Linked DNA regions of Caenorhabditis elegans. The protein of the gene in region 2 interacts with the protein of the main gene of each other region in a biochemical or structural test. Each region holds a gene or a part of one and is shown on either strand. Other genes may lie near its edges.

Region 1 (8,085 bases), on a different chromosome or scaffold from region 2:
GTATAGCTCAAGATTCGGATTAGGTATAGGTTTAGGCTATTTCTTAGGCTATGGTTCAGGCTCAGGTTTAAGCTCAGGCTTAGGCTATTGCTTAGGCTATGGTTCAGTTTCAGGTTTAGGCTATGGTTCAGGCTCAGGTTTAGGCTTAGGTTTAGGCTTAGGCTTAGGCATATGCTTAGGCTTAAGCTTAGGTCTAGGCCTATGACAGCCTATATTCCTTACAGGCTATCTGAAGAGTTTTCAATTTTCGTTAGCATCGAATAAACGAAGCTCAGAATTTGTGGGCTAAAAAATTTGTGCGATGCATGTGCTGAACTTTAGGTAATGTTTTTTTTTATTCAGGTTATGGAATTTTTTTAGTGGCCGCGGCCGTCAATATTTCTAGGCCAGATTTGCATACCTGTCCGTATAAAAGAACAATGCCAAGAAAAATGAGAAAAATAATTAGAAGCAAATTAATCGGTCTACTGGCACGAGATTTCATTTCGAAAAAAATATCGGAATATTTTGATTCCACCTGCCCTTTTATTGGTGCCGTTCCGGATTGTTTCGTAGAATACTTTTTCAGATTTAATCGCGATTTTGTCCAGTTTTCCATGCCGAATTTCGATGGTTCGACAAGATTAGTGGACGACAAAAAGAAACGTTTTGTTCTCAAAATTGCTTTTGGTCGGCGACAAATGTTTCGGGAAAATTCTAGTTTTTTTTGGAGGAATTTGTAAATTTATCAGGAGAATTTTTAAATTTACCAGGAGAATTTTAAAATTTACCAGGAGAATTTTTAAATTTACCAGGAGAATTTTTAAATTTACCAGGAGAATTTTTAAATTTACCAGGAGAATTTTTAAATTTACCAGGAGAATTTTAAAATTTACCAGGAGAATTTTTAAATTTACCAGGAGAATTTTAAAATTTACCAGGAGAATTTTTTAATTTACCAGGAGAATTTTTAAATTTACCAGGAGAATTTTTAAATTTACCAGGAGACTTTTTAAATTTACCAGGAGAATTTTTAAATTTACCAGGAGAATTTTTAAATTTACCAGGAGAATTTTTAAATTTACCAGGAGAATTTTTAAATTTACCAGGAGAATTTTTAACCGGTTTTTAAAATTTTCGGCAATTGCCGGAATTGCCAAGATTGCCGGAATTTGCGATTGCCGGGCATTTTCGGCAATTTTGAAACCTAGTCATATTGTGGAAATTGAAAAAATTTCACCTTGTCTCTTAGTATTCATTTAGTCATTTTCTGAAAGAAAACGTTCAATCCTTAAAGGATCAAATTATGTTGAGCTTGAAAATAAAACATTTTTCATCAAAATGCATGTTTAGGCTCCTAAATCTACAAAAAAGTATCAAATTTATATTTCCGACAATTCTGATTTCCGGCAATCGGCAATTACGGCAGTTGCCGGTTTCAAAAAATTCGATAATTGCCGAAATTGCCGAAAATCGATTGCTGGTAGGCAATTGCCGCGCACCCTTGTTCTTCAGTAGAGTACAGTACTATATTACAGAACTGCCACTACAGTACCCTTACAGTACTCCGACACTTTTTCCCTAACCAGGTACGGACCGTCACTGCAAAGTTTTAAGCGTTTTATTTGCAGTTTTTGATGTATTTATGTGTAGAGTTTTTTGGAAAATTTTGAGAATTTTTTAAATTTTAGTTTTACAATTTTTAGATGTTCGGTAATAATATTCCTTATTGAAAAAATATTAATCATTTCTAATTCAACATATGGAATTCTGGTTTTGATACATGTTAATTAGCGTTCTTCAAGTGGCTCTCCTTCTCCTGTAATCCACCGAACATTGTGGACGTCAACACACACACACACACACACACACACAAAAGACGAAACGACCCAACAAATACAATTACGATGTCTTCTCCGTCTACTCTCTCATTCTTTAGGACTAAAGAGGCACAGCTGCCAGTAACAGGGACCCCTCCTTTGTGTCTGCGTCTCTCCCTCTCTCTCTCTTTGGGGTGGCCTTCGTCTTCTCCCCCATCCTGCACACACACACACACACCCTGACACCACAACGGTTTCATGCAAATTCTATATAATATTTATTGATTTTCTATCCTTATTAATTTCAAGTTAAAGAGTTTAACTCTGAAATAAAAATCTTTGAAAATGAGGAATTTTCTGGTATTTAGCGTAATTTTTATTGCGTACAACAGCTGTGAAGCAGCGAATATTCAAGCAGGTGAGTATTTTTCAAATTGATTACCTATATAAAAATTTGAGGTTAAATCCAAGAAATTATAGATTTTAGCCAAATTTCCACGAATTGAATGAATTTGCCCAAGCTTGGACCCGAAACGACAATTTTTGTAAAATGCAAAAGGGCATGCGTCTTTAAAGAGTAATGTAGTTTTCAGCTAGGATTTGCTATTGAAAAACTAAAAGAAAAACTATTTTTTAAAAAATCAATAAAATTAAACGTCTCGATATTACAGTCATCTTCAAAGACGCACACCATTTTGCATTTTACAACAATTTATCGCTTCGAGACCAAAAATAAATTTTTTTTTTTTTGGTTTTAAGTCTCTCCTCTAATTCGGCATTTTTGCGCTTGCATTTATTGTTATAACATAAGTTAATCTATTTTTTAAAGCAACTTCATAAAGTTGCTTGAAAAAATTGATAAAATTATTTCGACCGTAAATTTGTATGGTTTTTCGTGACGAGACCCAAGATTTTTAAGGGTTTTTTGGCAATTTTCAGTGAAGTTTTGTGAATTTTTTTTGTGTATTTGAACGTTTTTAGTATGAAAACTATGAAAAAAAAACAAATTTTTAAAAAAATTTTCTGAATTTCCATCCGTTACATATTGAGTTTAATAGCATATTTTCATGGAAATTTTTATAGATTTTTCACAGTTTTTATTTCAATTTGCTATTGTTTCCGGTGAAAAATGCATCTTTTTCAAAGATCAAACTTCGCAACAACAAAAGTTTTGCAAGTACAGTAATCTTCAAAGGCGCACACATTTTTTCATCTAACAAAAATCTAGACCGGGACGACCGTATTTTTTGACCCGAGCGCTTTGCAAAATTTCGCATTTGCACGGATTTCTAGATTTAAAAAAAGGATTAAAGGACGATCACGTTTTTCAAGTGCTATGCACTGCGGATCTGGGATTCAGGTACCTGCCTGGTGGTGATCCCTCATTAATTGAAATGGAAGAGTTTTTGCCGAACTAGGCCATTTTGGCTCGTCCATATTTGGGGTAGATTTACGGCGCGTTGCGTGTCGCGTCGCGGCTCGCCTTTAGTTGTAAAAATAAATGTATTTGTCCGTCGGTAGATTGTCAATGGAGCGCGATAAATGCAATGAGGAAGGCCAGAACCCCGAGATTTGGGTGTTAAAAAAAATTTTCTTTCCAAAAATTCAAATTTTCGTGGGTTCAACAAATCAAGGATCATAAGTCAAAAACTGAGCGAAAAAATTATGCTTTTCGAGATGATAAGGTCCCATTCATTACAAATTGTATAAAATTGTGTATGCAAATATGCTCTAAAGATAATTTTTTTTGTTTACCTAGGTATTAGTGTCATCAATCCAATATATATGTATTTACCTAAATTCTTAATTTTTGCAGACAACACATTTGCCGACCCGAACATTGGAGAATTCCGTGAACTACTAATCGACCCAAAAGCCGGTGCTCTTTTTGTGGGCTCCGAGGGAGCCATTTTCCGTCTTTGGGCTTATAATATCAACGATACGGGGGAGAATGTGTTCGCCAAAAAACAACTGGTGCTCAGCGAGTCCGAAGAATCCGAGTGTCGTTCGACGGCCAGTGACGAGCGATTGTGCCGCCCGTCGACTCGATTTTTGGCGTTTACGAATAACCTCGACTCGATTTATGTTTGCTCGTCGGTTGGCATGAGGCCGGAGATTCGTGTGCTCGACTCACTTTCGTTGCGAGACCAACAGGAGCCGCGGACCGAGATTGGGATTTGTGTTGTGGATCCGACGTTTAATTTTACGGCGGTTGTGGTTGATAGTGGGAATCCGGAGGGTAAGCAAGTGCGCTCTATTGATAAATGAAATTCATTGATAATTTGGCTGCAATTTTTCAAAATTGTTTTGAAACTTTTCTAGTTTTGAATGAGTTTGCTTAAAAAAATGACCAAAAATACCCAATTATTTTACAAAAACTATCAAAAAACATCCTTGAATTTTGCAAAAATTTTTGTTGCACAGAAAGTGGGGCGGAGCGTAGCTTTCGCAACACTGCCGCACGGGTTTGCCTCCGCCCCTTCTCCACTGCTTTTCTTGTTGATTTTTTCAATAATGTTTCGATTTGACTATTATTTTTCTCTTTTTTCGAAACAAAAAACTTTTGAGGCAAACCCCGTGCGGCAGTGTTGCGAAGTTACGCTCCGCCCCACTTTGTGTGCGACAGAAAAAATTTTGCAAAATTCAAGGATCGATTAATAAGTTTTGATAGTAGATTTTATCACCAATCCCCACGTGGTGTCAGGCTGCTTCATTTCAGTTTGATCTACAAAAAATGCGGTAATATTTTTCCATAAAAACTGTGACGTCAGCACGTTCTTAACCATGCAAAATCAGTTGAGTACTCTGCGTCTCAACTCCCGCATTTTTCGAAGATCAAATCAAAGTAAGACATTCTGACACCACGTGAAATTGTGAAAAAAATATTTGTTTTAGTCTAGAATTTGGATACATTATCTATTTTCTGCAAACTTTGTGAATGATAATTCTAAATTACACTTTTTACTGTGATTTAGAATTATCGATATTTGAAAAAAATTTTGCAAAAAATTTTTTATTTTATTCTCATAAATTTTGCATCAAAACATTTTCCAAAAAATAAAGTGCAAATTCCAAAAGTAATTTTTGCAATAATGTTTGCCAAATTGTTGCAGTTTTCATTTGCAGATGCCACATCCGTATACTCTGGAATCCGTACAGGAATGGGCGGTGAGAATCATCTGATCTACCGTCCACCGCTCACCAAAAACGGCAAACAACTGCACGCCAGTATTCGAACAATCTATTCGGACAACAAATGGCTCAATGAGCCGCAATTCGTCGGCTCATTTGATGTCGGACAGCATGTGTTCTTCTTTTTCCGTGAAATTGCACATGATAACTCGTTCGGCGAGCGAATCGTTCATAGTCGTGTGGCAAGAGTTTGTAAAAAGGATATTGGCGGGAGAAATGTATTGCGACAAGTTTGGACGTCATTTGTCAAGGCTCGACTTAATTGTTCGGTTTCTGCAAATTTCCCGTTTTATTTCGATCATATTCGTAAGTTAGGCCACCGAGTGGAGCATCGTGGCCGAGAAAAAGAGAAATTGAAAAAAAATCAATTTTATTCATTTTCTGTTTGAAGTCTTGAAACCCTTCAATTCGTGATATTATACTAATTTTTCACGGATTTCTGGCTACCCTCATAAATTGAAATGGAAGAGTTTGCCAAAGTAGGCCATTTTGGCTCGGCCATATCTGGGGTAGATTTACGGTGCGTTGCGTGCCGCGTCGCGGCTCGATTTCAGTTGTAAAACTAAATGTATTTGTCCGTGTGGAGTACACGACTTTCTCACGAGTTGTCCGGCAGGCGAGAGCGCGAAAAATTCAATGAGCAAGGCCAGAGCCTCGTGATTTTAAAACAAATGTTCGCCAGTTTTCGCAGTATTCACGTGGTGTCAGGTTGTCCCATAACGGTTTGATCTACAAAAAATGCGGTAATATTTTTCCAAAAAAACTGTGACGTCAGCACGTTCTTAAACATGCGAAATCAGTTGAGAAGTCTGCGTTTAAATTCCCGCATTTTTTGTAGATCACAACAAAATGGGACATTCTGACACCAGTATTGAAAAATATGGCGACCGAGTGTAGCATCGTGGTCGCACGGGGTTATGGTCTTTCTCATTGAATTTTTCGCGCTCCATTGGCGATCGCCCGCCGGACAACGCGTGGGAAAGTCGTGTACTCCACACGGGCAAATGCATTTAGTTTTACAACTAAAATCGAGCCGCTACGCGACACGCCACGCGCCGTAAATCTACCCCAGGTATGGTCGAGCCGATAAATTTAAGGAAAAAAAATCATGAAGTTCTCAAATTTAAGACCGTCTCAATAGAGCGCATCTACACTGTCTATTTTTTTTTTCAGAATCCGTAAAACGCGTCGACAAACACGGAGAAACCTACTTCTACGCCACGTTTTCCACATCGGAAACCGCATTTACTTCTTCTGCGATATGCATGTTCCAACTCTCTTCAATCAATCATGTAAGTGGTGGCCGTGGCCGCCAAACAAATCAAATTAACTCGGCCACCTATTGAACTTTGTGTTTTCAGCTCCTCGACACCGGCCTCCTAATGGAAGAGACTGCGAACGGGCAGTTTTCGGTGACCGCCGACGAGATTCCGGCTCATCGCCCGGGAACGGTAGGTGGAAAATGTGCTCTATTGCAAAATAAATTTTACAAAAAAAAATCTAGTTCAAAAATGAAATTTTGCGTCAGAAGTGGGCGGAGCCGTAGTTTTAGAATTTTTGAAAAATTTGAAAGCCCGCCTACGCTCGGTGTCTTCTAAAAATCGGTTTTAACTCGGCGGGGCTTATTTCAAAAAAAAATTTCTTTAATTTTTTGCAATTTTTTTCAAACAATTTTGATGCGGAGCACGTGGTGTCAGGCTGTCCCAATATAGCTTTATCTACAAAAAATGCGGGAATTTTTCCCAGAAAAATTGTGACGTCAACACGCTCCTCCATTCGAAATCAGCTGAGAACTCTGCGTCTCTTCTCCCGCATTTTTTGTAGATCAAAGCGAAATGGGACTTTCTGACTCCACGTGGCCGAGCATATTAACAAGGAAAACATGCGTTGGTCCGAAAATATTGATACCAGGGGGCGGAGCTTATTTAATGATTTTTTAAAGGAACATCTTGGAAGCCCCACCCATTTCTGACATAAAACCCCTTTTAATCGATTTTTCAGGATGTTAAAATCAATTTTGATTGAAAAATACCTATTTTCCGTTGGTGAAATTCATTTTTAGATATAAAAATTGTGTAATATAAGCCCCGCCCATTTCTGACGCGTTAACCACTTAATCATCGATTTTCTCTCTTTCAGTGCTCACAAAACTCGCACAGCATTTCGGATACGGATCTTCACTTTGCAAAAACGCATCTCCTGGTTTCCGATTCCATATCCGGCGGAACCCCGATTCTGCCACTCCGTGACCACGTTTTCACGCATATTGTCGTAGATCAACTTCCCAACCAGAATGTGATTTTTGCATTTGATAGTGCAAATCGACGAGTTTGGAAAATTTCGCATTGGAAAGAAGGAAACGAGTGGAAATCGAATTTAATCGAAGAAAAATCGCTAAAAATTGCGGCCTCCCGGATTAATGACGTGGCACTTTTGCCTGCCGAATTCTTCTTTGTCACGTCTGGAGCCGGTGTCTCCCAATTCTCAGTTGCTCGATGCTCGGAGCAACCATCCTGTGCTCTCTGCTCCCTTGATCCCTACTGCAGCTGGAATGCGGTCAACTCGAAATGCTCGCTGAAAACAAAGACAAATGAGAAATCAGTCGGCTGGATTTCGAGCTCATGGGCTGGAAGAATATCACCAGAGTGCTCCGCTGTCGAGAAGCTTACCGTTAAGGATGTCTACTTGGGCGACGGGCTCCGTTTGGTTGGAGCCAAGAATGGGGTGTGGCAGAAGGATGGGCGGAGTGTTGAGAGTGGGCAACGGCACGTGGTGACTCGGAATGGGGAATTGGTGGTGTTGGATGCGCAGTTGGAGGATGCTGGAACCTATGAATGTTTGAGAGATAATATTATTCTTGTTAGAGCAAGAATTGTTGTTCATGGTAATGAGTTTTAACAAAAAATTCAACTGAAAAAATCACGAAAAACTGTACTTTTTTGCGGCCATGAAATTAATTGTAGAAAAACTGCAGAAAAATGACAGAAAACAAATCGGTGGCCGAGTTTTTTATCTTTCCGCGGCCACGCCATTTTTCGTCTCGCTACACCAGTGTTTCCGACTTGGCCGCCACAAAAAAACGGTGGCCGAGGTT
Region 2 (8,366 bases):
TTTGAAATTTTTGAAACCCAGTCAAATTTCCTAACTTTGAAATATACGTGTTTACCATAGCGAATTTGCATAATTCATTCTGACCACACATGATATTTATGGCATATACACATGTATACATTCATGAAAGTATTACACCACTTGATTGCCCAATAGAAAGTGTTAATCTAATCATAAAAACTTTATACTTTATAGGTACGAGATAGCTGGCAACAATAATTTTTCAATCTCATCGAATTAGAATTGTAATGTCCTAACAAAGCAAACTTGTAAGGCAAAATCTGGTTTGATTACAAAAATAGTGCTGAATCTGCCAATTTCACTATGCAGAAATAAAGTTTTTTGAAAAGTTACAGTCAGAAAATAGCAGTTACTCAGTTTGCAATAAGGCTGTGCGGCTGGTAGAAAAATTACAAAGAATCGAAAGTTACCGAAAGACAAAACTAATTTTTAAAAAATTTAAACAACGCTACTAGGTTCCAGACACGATGTTTATAAGGGAACTCCGGCAATTGAGCAAAACCTTCCTATGTACATGTGTTCTTAGTTCTTCTTGAAACTCTCATGTTAATAGGTTCACAACCTACTTAACCCCTAGAACACGCTCTGTTTGTTTTTGACACCGTCTTCCGTTGTCTCTTGCGCTCCGCCGTCATCACCTGCCACGCAGCTCATTAACTCATTAACTCATAAGCTTGTGCCTTGTCTTGGCTTAGCTGTATATATATACGCTTCCTTAGTCTATATAGAACACCTACTAATGATCCTAATGTGCATGCATTTTTATTTTTGTACCAGTCGGCAGTTTTTCAAGATATAATCCAAATTATTTCAATTATTTGAATTTTTGTGAAATTTTAGTCTAGACCCATATGGCCCAAAACTGCCAAATGTTGTGTAAAGGCGTTCTGAAATATTAGCACTAAAGGAGTTTTTTTTTAAATGAAATCCCACTGCCCCACAAATAACCATCACTATTTCAATAATCAATACTATAAACTTTACACACTCTGTTCCGGAGTCCTCACCATGTGATCGATTAGAATCAAACTCATTAATCATTTTCTTTGACATAATTCGCGGGTTGCTCTCTACCCGACTTTTCGCAAATACAAACTGAACATCTGTCTGCCGAGTTAGTGATCATTAATGAATATTTATCTAGTTTCAGATTTTTTCGTATGTACATACATATTTCTATTTCATTTTCCCCCAACCCGGCTTACCCAGTCCCTCCGGATCCTCCTGACACATTTCCCCTTGTCCGTCCATCTATTTTCATTGTCCATCCCATTTTTTGCTCTTTTTTGCTTGTGCTCTTTTTCATATCTTCTTTTGCTTCTCAGTTTCATGTTCCATTTTTGGTTTGGACCCTATAGGACCGAAAACTCATTTGGGGATTACATTTATGTCATTTTTACTCATTTCCCCTCATTTTACGTTTCCGTTTCTTTTTAAAATATTACATGTTTCTCTACGGACCTCCAAAAGGCTACGGCTTCTATTCAAAAAATATAACTGCCTGCCTGCCTACAAGGTGATCTATGCCTTATACAACTAGAACTACAAAAATTTTGGTCACTACTAGTTAATTCTGAATTTGGTTCAAACAATCTATAAAATGAGAAATTTATAAATTGTATTTACTAATCCAAATGTACTTCTTCAAAACGTAACAAACAAATGACCATTTTGTAAATGTCTGCACAAAAAATGTCTAACCGATTCGCTTCATCGACGACCATCGGTTCACTTTTTTTCGTTTGATTGATCATGATGGAAATGGTCAGTCAAGTATTGTATTGCATTACAATTAAACATTGAATTCGTTCACGTTTCAAGTGATTTATAGGTTATGTGGTTATTGAAGAATGGGGAGACATTGGACACAGGTATTTCCTTATGTTGGAAAAATTTATTACATTTTTTTTTGGAATGAATTAACCTAGTTTTTGCATTTTTGGTTTTTCATGAAAATTTTTAATCAAAATACTATTGAGGTTAGTAAATTCTTTTTTGGTGTCACGTTTTATTACTTCGATGAGTTGGTAGAAGTTAGGAGTTAATCGCCTTTTAGTCAAACATGCAGGCATATTAGTACCTTTATTTTCAAATTTCTGAATTGGCTAAACTTCTTTTAAATTTCTCTATTACTTTTTTTCTGAAATGATCATAAATCTTCTTATTTTCAGAAATGCGATTATGCTCCCCGAATCGGTGTTTCTTCTCCTAATCAGCCATTTTCTGCGGGCGGTAACCCAGCCGCCCTTTGAAACAGAAGGCGTGAAACAAAAATTATTTCATTTTTCTGGACACATTGACGACTTTATTGTCTCGAGGGACCAACAAACGGTAGGACATCTCACAATTTCGAGAATTTTGAGAAAACTATCATTTTTGAAAGCTAGGCACGCCCTCATTTCTGCCTGCCTAATAAGCCTAAGCAGAAGCCTATAGTTGGTACCTGAGTAATTTTAATCTTTCAGATCTACGTGGCATCTCTCAACCGACTAACATCTTTATCAATTTCTAATTTTTCAATACAACATGAGGTTTCACTCGGTCCGGTTCAAGATTCTCCTTGGTGCTCTGCAGATGGAAAATCTTGCTTAAAGCTAGTTAATCAACATCACGTCTTTATCCAAATTATTATTTTCAGAGACAATCGCCCCTTCCCAACAGATGTTCGCACAAAAATCCTACAAATCCTTCCCACAAATCAAATTCTTCAGTGTGGTTCTGTAAAGCTCGGGTCATGCTCCACGTTCAATTCGAAGTTATCTCTCATCACTGAATCCACTATCGCAGTTGCCGCGAATTCTCCAGACGCGTCCACAGTATCGAAAATCATCGATAATCGTTTAATTGTTGCGGCAAGTGCAACGAAAGAATCTCCGTATCGAGACCCGTTTCCAGCGGTTGCAATTCGAAACTTGCCCGGTCTGAATGTTGAGAATGCCGGTGATCTGGAAGGAGAAGCTGCAGTTTTCCTGAGAGCAGCTTACAAGAATGCATTCAAGTTTTTGTACACCTTTACGCATCAACATTTTGTGTTTGTGGTCGCCATGGTCACACCAAGAGAGTCAAGATTACCTATGACAACCAGGTTGATACGATTCTGCCGAAATGACACAAAGTAGGTGTTTAGGCCAAAAATTAGCAAAAGTTATATCCCTATTTTCAGATTTGAATCCTACTCTGAAATCGAACTTCAATGCCGCGGAGAGGACAATACCAACTATCCATTTCTGAACGCAATCATTCAATCCTACGACAAGCTGATCGCATCGTTCTCAACATCATCCACATCTCCAAAAAGTTCCATTTGTGTATTTTCGATGCAAAAAGTGAAGCTGACTTTTTGGTACAATGTGGATAGGTGTAGAAGTGGTACTGATTCGATTAGACTACCTCATATCGGGAGAGATACAAAATGTGTTAATGCAAGTTTTAGGTTTTTCAATGAAGAAATTATTTCGCTTTTCAGAAAGCCCACATACCCCTCGACGAAGATAGCTGTGAGCTCGGTGTTGGTGGATCAATTGAACTTGTTGAGATGTCCACAAAAGACATTATGGGAAAGGTGACGTCATTGATGGCTGTAGATCAAAAAGCAATTTTCGCGGGAACAACAACTTCGCAGATTGTGATGGTAAATTTTACTAAAAAAGCTAGCTAGATTCACACGACTAACTGCTTGTGATCCATCATTGTCGCTGACCCTAAACAGCATTTCGAATGACACTTTAATCTTCAAAAATGTATATGAAAACAAATGTCAATCAAATGCATATCACAAAGGGATTATTTCTTGAAATCATAGGACTGATCTTTAAAAAAACTATTACAAACAATTTTAGTTTAAATGGGACGAGCACCATTCAAACCAGTTGGAAGAGTACGGTAGAAAGGAAGTTGGAGATGGGCGAACTGGGAGCGAGGTCAGCAAAATGGTCAAATTTGGGGATTTTGTCATTGTGCAGATGCCATATGGAGTAAGTTTATTTTGAAAAAAGGGTTTCATGTAGAACAAATTTTGGTTTTTTAGATCATATTAGAAGAGCTTTCCACTTGCTCTCATCACAGCTCATGCACAGAATGCTTAGTCTCTGTAGACCCACTCTGCCAATGGTGTCATCCGACGCAATCGTGTACGACTTCAGCAAGGTGTACTAGTCCAGTTGTAAGCAAGTTTATCTTTGTTCTATTTTGGCATACACGTTTCAGACTTCTCAGTGTCCAATTGTCGATGGTGATCCGATTCCTTCAATAGTCTCCGTGAACTCCTCTACCCCTATATCCTTCAACATTCACCATCTTCCACCTCCAGTCGGTTTCACTTATAGATGCCAATTCGGAACATCAACATCATCTATCAAAGCTAACTGGACAACGACCGGAGTTTCATGCCCATCGGAAATTTTTACATCACCAAACACTTTTGAAATTTTGTTGCTAACATCAATTTCCAATAATCCAATCAGCCGTCACAACTTCACAGTTTACGATTGCTCGGGTTACGGTACATGCTCGTCCTGTATGAGCTCTGAGTACAATTGTGCCTGGTGCTCTGGATTGCACAAATGTTCGAATTCCTGTGGGGCATTGGAAAAATCAAAAGCCTGCGTGAAAATTCAACCAATGAGGCTCCCAATTGCTATCGGTTCTCAACAAGAAATCGTGCTCGAGGCGTCTAACCTGGATACTCTTGATCGAAGGCACGAACATTTTTGTAAAGTAAACGAGCAAGTGTCTCTTGCAAAGATTGCAAGCGATAGTATCCGTTGTGGCAAGATTCAGTTGACTTTGAGCAACACTACGAGTGCAAACATGGTGGTTCCGTTGAGCCTGATCACAAGGGACTCTGTAATTGATATTGCTAATGGTAAGTACCAGAGATTTGTGAATTCAGTTTACAATACATACTTTAATTGAACTGCTTTTCAGTGTCCCTTTACTCTTGCACCAACCTGGCATCTGACTGTTCCAGTTGTCTTGCTCTTTCCCCTTCACTATCATGTGGATGGTGTAATCGACAGTGCTCCCACGAGTGCCACGAGTCAAAGGCCACTGCTGTGTGTGATCCACCAAGAATCGATAAAGTAAAAATGATATGAATACGTATATATCTTGTATTTAAAAATGTTTCAGTTCGAACCAACAAGTGGGCCCATCGAAGGAGGCACAATCATCAAAATCTATGGGAATGACCTGGGCATGTCTGTAGAAGACGTTCGTGGAAAGATCTATGTCGCCGGTTCTAGATGTAATATTGTGGAGTATCATGTTTCTAACATGATTGCATGTCAAGTCGACAAAGGTGTCAGCTCGGGCCCAATCAGGATATCAGTTGGTCGGGCAACAGTTGCAGTAGCAGAATCATCGGAACTATATTCGTTTGTAAGAACATCAATATTCTCCGCTTACCCCCTGTATGGCCCAATATCTGGCGGAACTCGAATAACTCTGTACGGTCAGAACTTATCAAGTGGATCTCAAACCTCTGTGACAGTTGGTGGCATGCCGTGTCCTATTGAAAGGGTAAATTCTTCAACAGTTTTGACTTGTCTAACACCTTCTGGAACTCGAATTGGAAAATCTGCTAGAGTAGTTGTTCATGTGGATCACTCCCAGACTCAACTCGATCAACCATTTGAATATCGATCGGACCCGTCTATTAGCTCAATCTTCCCGATGACTTCTTTCAAAGCCGGCGGAAGAATTGTTTATGTTCAAGGCAACTCATTGAACACTGTTCAAACAGCAAAGCTATTCCTCATATCATCTCCAACACCTCCGTTTTATATAATATCTGATCTGGCTCCATGTCACATCATTAACTCTACATTAATGACTTGTATGACTCCAAAAATTTTGGAAACAATCACTAGAAGAGTTGAGTATACACGGCAACCTGTGGGTTTTCACATGGACAATGTCACAGCTGTAGCAAATTTGGGAAGACGAATTCAGATGGGCATCTATCCGAATCCGACGCTTTCTCCGTTCAAAGGAGTACGATATCATCAGGGAGAACAATCACTCATTCTTGAAGGACACAATCTAAATCTTGCTGCGGAGCCAAATGATTTCAAGATCTTCATTGGAAATGAGAGATGCTACGTGACACTTGTAGATGTTAGGCAATTGGTGTGCTCGGGACCGGTGAGGCAACCAAAAGCTACCGATGAAAGAGGAATTCCAATTAATGGGGATAACCCGCTGGTTACTGTAATAGTTGGATCACTTAGAATGGAGCTTGGGTTGATTGAGTATTCCGATCATGCACTCCCGTCCAGACTATCACTTTTGATTCTTGGGCTACTTCTGTTCATTGTTGTCACGTTGACTGTGATGTGCTTGGTTTTCAAGCGGAGGCGTCAAGAACGAGAGAAAGAATACCGAAAGATTCAGCTTCAAATGGAAAATCTTGAAAACAATGTTCGTAAAGAATGCAAGCAAGCATTCGCTGAACTTCAAACAAACCTAGTACTATCTCCAAAGTCTGCAAATTCTGTGAACCTTGGACCGGAACTCATCAACTTCCCGCATTTTGTGGAGAACCTGCTCTGGTCTGATAACAACCTTACATCTGCGCCGAGTTTGGCAAGGACTCTCCCAGTGACTCTTGCTCAATTTCATGCACTTCTGAGCTTCAAAGGCTTTATTTTCACTATCGTAGAAGCTGCAGAATCGGATGTCTCCATATCAACATCAGAGAAGTCAATGTTAGCAAGCCTCCTGATATCTGTGTTACTTCGAAACTTCTCTTATTGCACTGAAGTTGTTGTGGACCTTCTACGTGCCCATATCGCAAGATCGGTTCAAAATAAGCGCGCCGAGTTACTGTTTCGGAATAGTGACTCGGTGGTGGAGAAAATGTTCTCAAAGTGGATGAGCATTTGTTTGTACTCCCATTTGACTCCGCAAATGAACTCGTACTTCTATCTATATAAGGCGCTACAATATCAAACTGACAAAGGACCCGTGGACGCGGTGACCGGTGATGCGAGATATACGATTAACGAGGCCAAATTGTTAAGGGAGAGTGTGGACACAAAGACTTTGGTGAGCTTTTTTTCAAATTTTCAAATGTTCAAGGTTTTATAAAAAGTTTCACAAGTGTTTAAACTCATAGAGGTTAAAGATGATTTTTAACTTTACAATGTATCTTTTACTACGGTGATTTTTTTTACTACGCTTTGTATCTTATTATTGTATCTTACTAGATGTTTTTTACTACGAGTTCAAAACTCATTTTTATAATTTATTCCAAGTATAATTACCCAAATATAGTGAATACAAATGTCGCACTTGTAGTTTGTAGTCAAGTAGTTCTAGTAAATTTGAGTATACCCGGGTTAGTAAAATAACAACGTAGTATATAAGATGAAATAGTGAGAAAATATTTTCCTATTATTTCAAAGTTTACTAGACTACGAGAGAATCAACGGTTATTATGAACGGCTACTAAATTTTATTATCGGAAGAAACGAATTTTGGTAGAAATTCCACAAAATTGTGAATTGATGTAACAAATTTACATAGTTATTTAACCTGGATTAATCAGAAAATATATAATTCATTTTAACAACATACCTTTGTTTCAGTTTTGAAACGTTTACAGTTGATCCCACAGGAAAAGGGAAAGCAAGTCTAATTGATATGCTATTTTTGGTTAATTTTCAGAAAATTCGTGTGATTCCATTTGAAAAATGCGATGAATCAATAGATCTTGAAGTTCATGCATGCGACGCAATTTGTCAAGTCAAACAAAAAGTTGCTTCAGCTGTCTATCGTGAAACACCATATTCACAGCGACCGAGAATAACGCAGTTCGAATTGAGTGGGTCATAAATAATCCCATATGTGTCTTCAATCAGTTTTTTTTCAGAATATAAATGTCCCAAACGGGGAGATGTGAAACTGACCGATGTTTTGCCAATTGAGACGTTATCGCAGAAAAAGCTACCAGTAAAGTTGTTCACTTTGGCAGATTACGGTATCAGTGATGGCTGTACGCTGGAAATGTCTCCAGCGGTTTATACAGCGGAAAGCTATAGAAGTGAGTTAATTGAAGAAACAAAATTTGAATATAACCCTTAAAATTTCAGATTCTCTCGCAGATTCTGGACAATCTTCCTGGTCATCGTTAGATCGATGCTCTCCAATTTATTCATCTTCAAAATACTATCACCTAACAAATCCGTCATCTGGAACTATGACTTTCAAGAAGAAATCTTCAAACGACAGCAATTTGCTACCCAAATCTATTCCAGAAGTGTACCTAACAAGGTTGCTCACTTCAAAGGGAACAGTAGAAACTTATGTGGAAGACTTCCTAGAATCCGTACTATACATGCACG

Evidence for each region.
Region 1: the proteins of plx-2 (region 2) and mab-20 interact in far-western blotting, tested with the Caenorhabditis elegans proteins (one study listed by BioGRID).

What each region holds. Positions count from the first base shown.
Region 1 is NC_003279.8:1,645,315-1,653,399, reverse strand, and holds the start of mab-20 (Semaphorin-2A), read left to right. Parts: upstream 1-1,942; 5' UTR 1,943-2,144; coding exon 2,145-2,217; intron 2,218-3,615; coding exon 3,616-4,038; exon of another isoform or gene 4,039-4,925; coding exon 4,926-5,297; intron 5,298-6,164; coding exon 6,165-6,283; intron 6,284-6,352; coding exon 6,353-6,442; intron 6,443-7,130; coding exon 7,131-7,875; intron 7,876-8,085. Other genes in the region: Y71G12B.18 (Methyltransferase FkbM domain-containing protein), read right to left, coding at 401-484.
Region 2 is NC_003280.10:14,418,718-14,427,083, reverse strand, and holds the start of plx-2 (Plexin-2), read left to right. Parts: upstream 1-2,192; 5' UTR 2,193-2,202; coding exon 2,203-2,352; intron 2,353-2,486; coding exon 2,487-2,614; intron 2,615-2,659; coding exon 2,660-3,136; intron 3,137-3,184; coding exon 3,185-3,443; intron 3,444-3,487; coding exon 3,488-3,652; intron 3,653-3,860; coding exon 3,861-3,995; intron 3,996-4,048; coding exon 4,049-4,183; intron 4,184-4,227; coding exon 4,228-4,885; intron 4,886-4,947; coding exon 4,948-5,102; intron 5,103-5,151; coding exon 5,152-7,068; intron 7,069-7,689; coding exon 7,690-7,846; intron 7,847-7,894; coding exon 7,895-8,065; intron 8,066-8,114; coding exon 8,115-8,366. UniProt on the Caenorhabditis elegans protein: Involved as a receptor for mab-20/sema-2a in the formation or stabilization of cell-cell contacts at several stages of epithelial morphogenesis. In early embryonic development, required for proper ventral closure of the epidermis.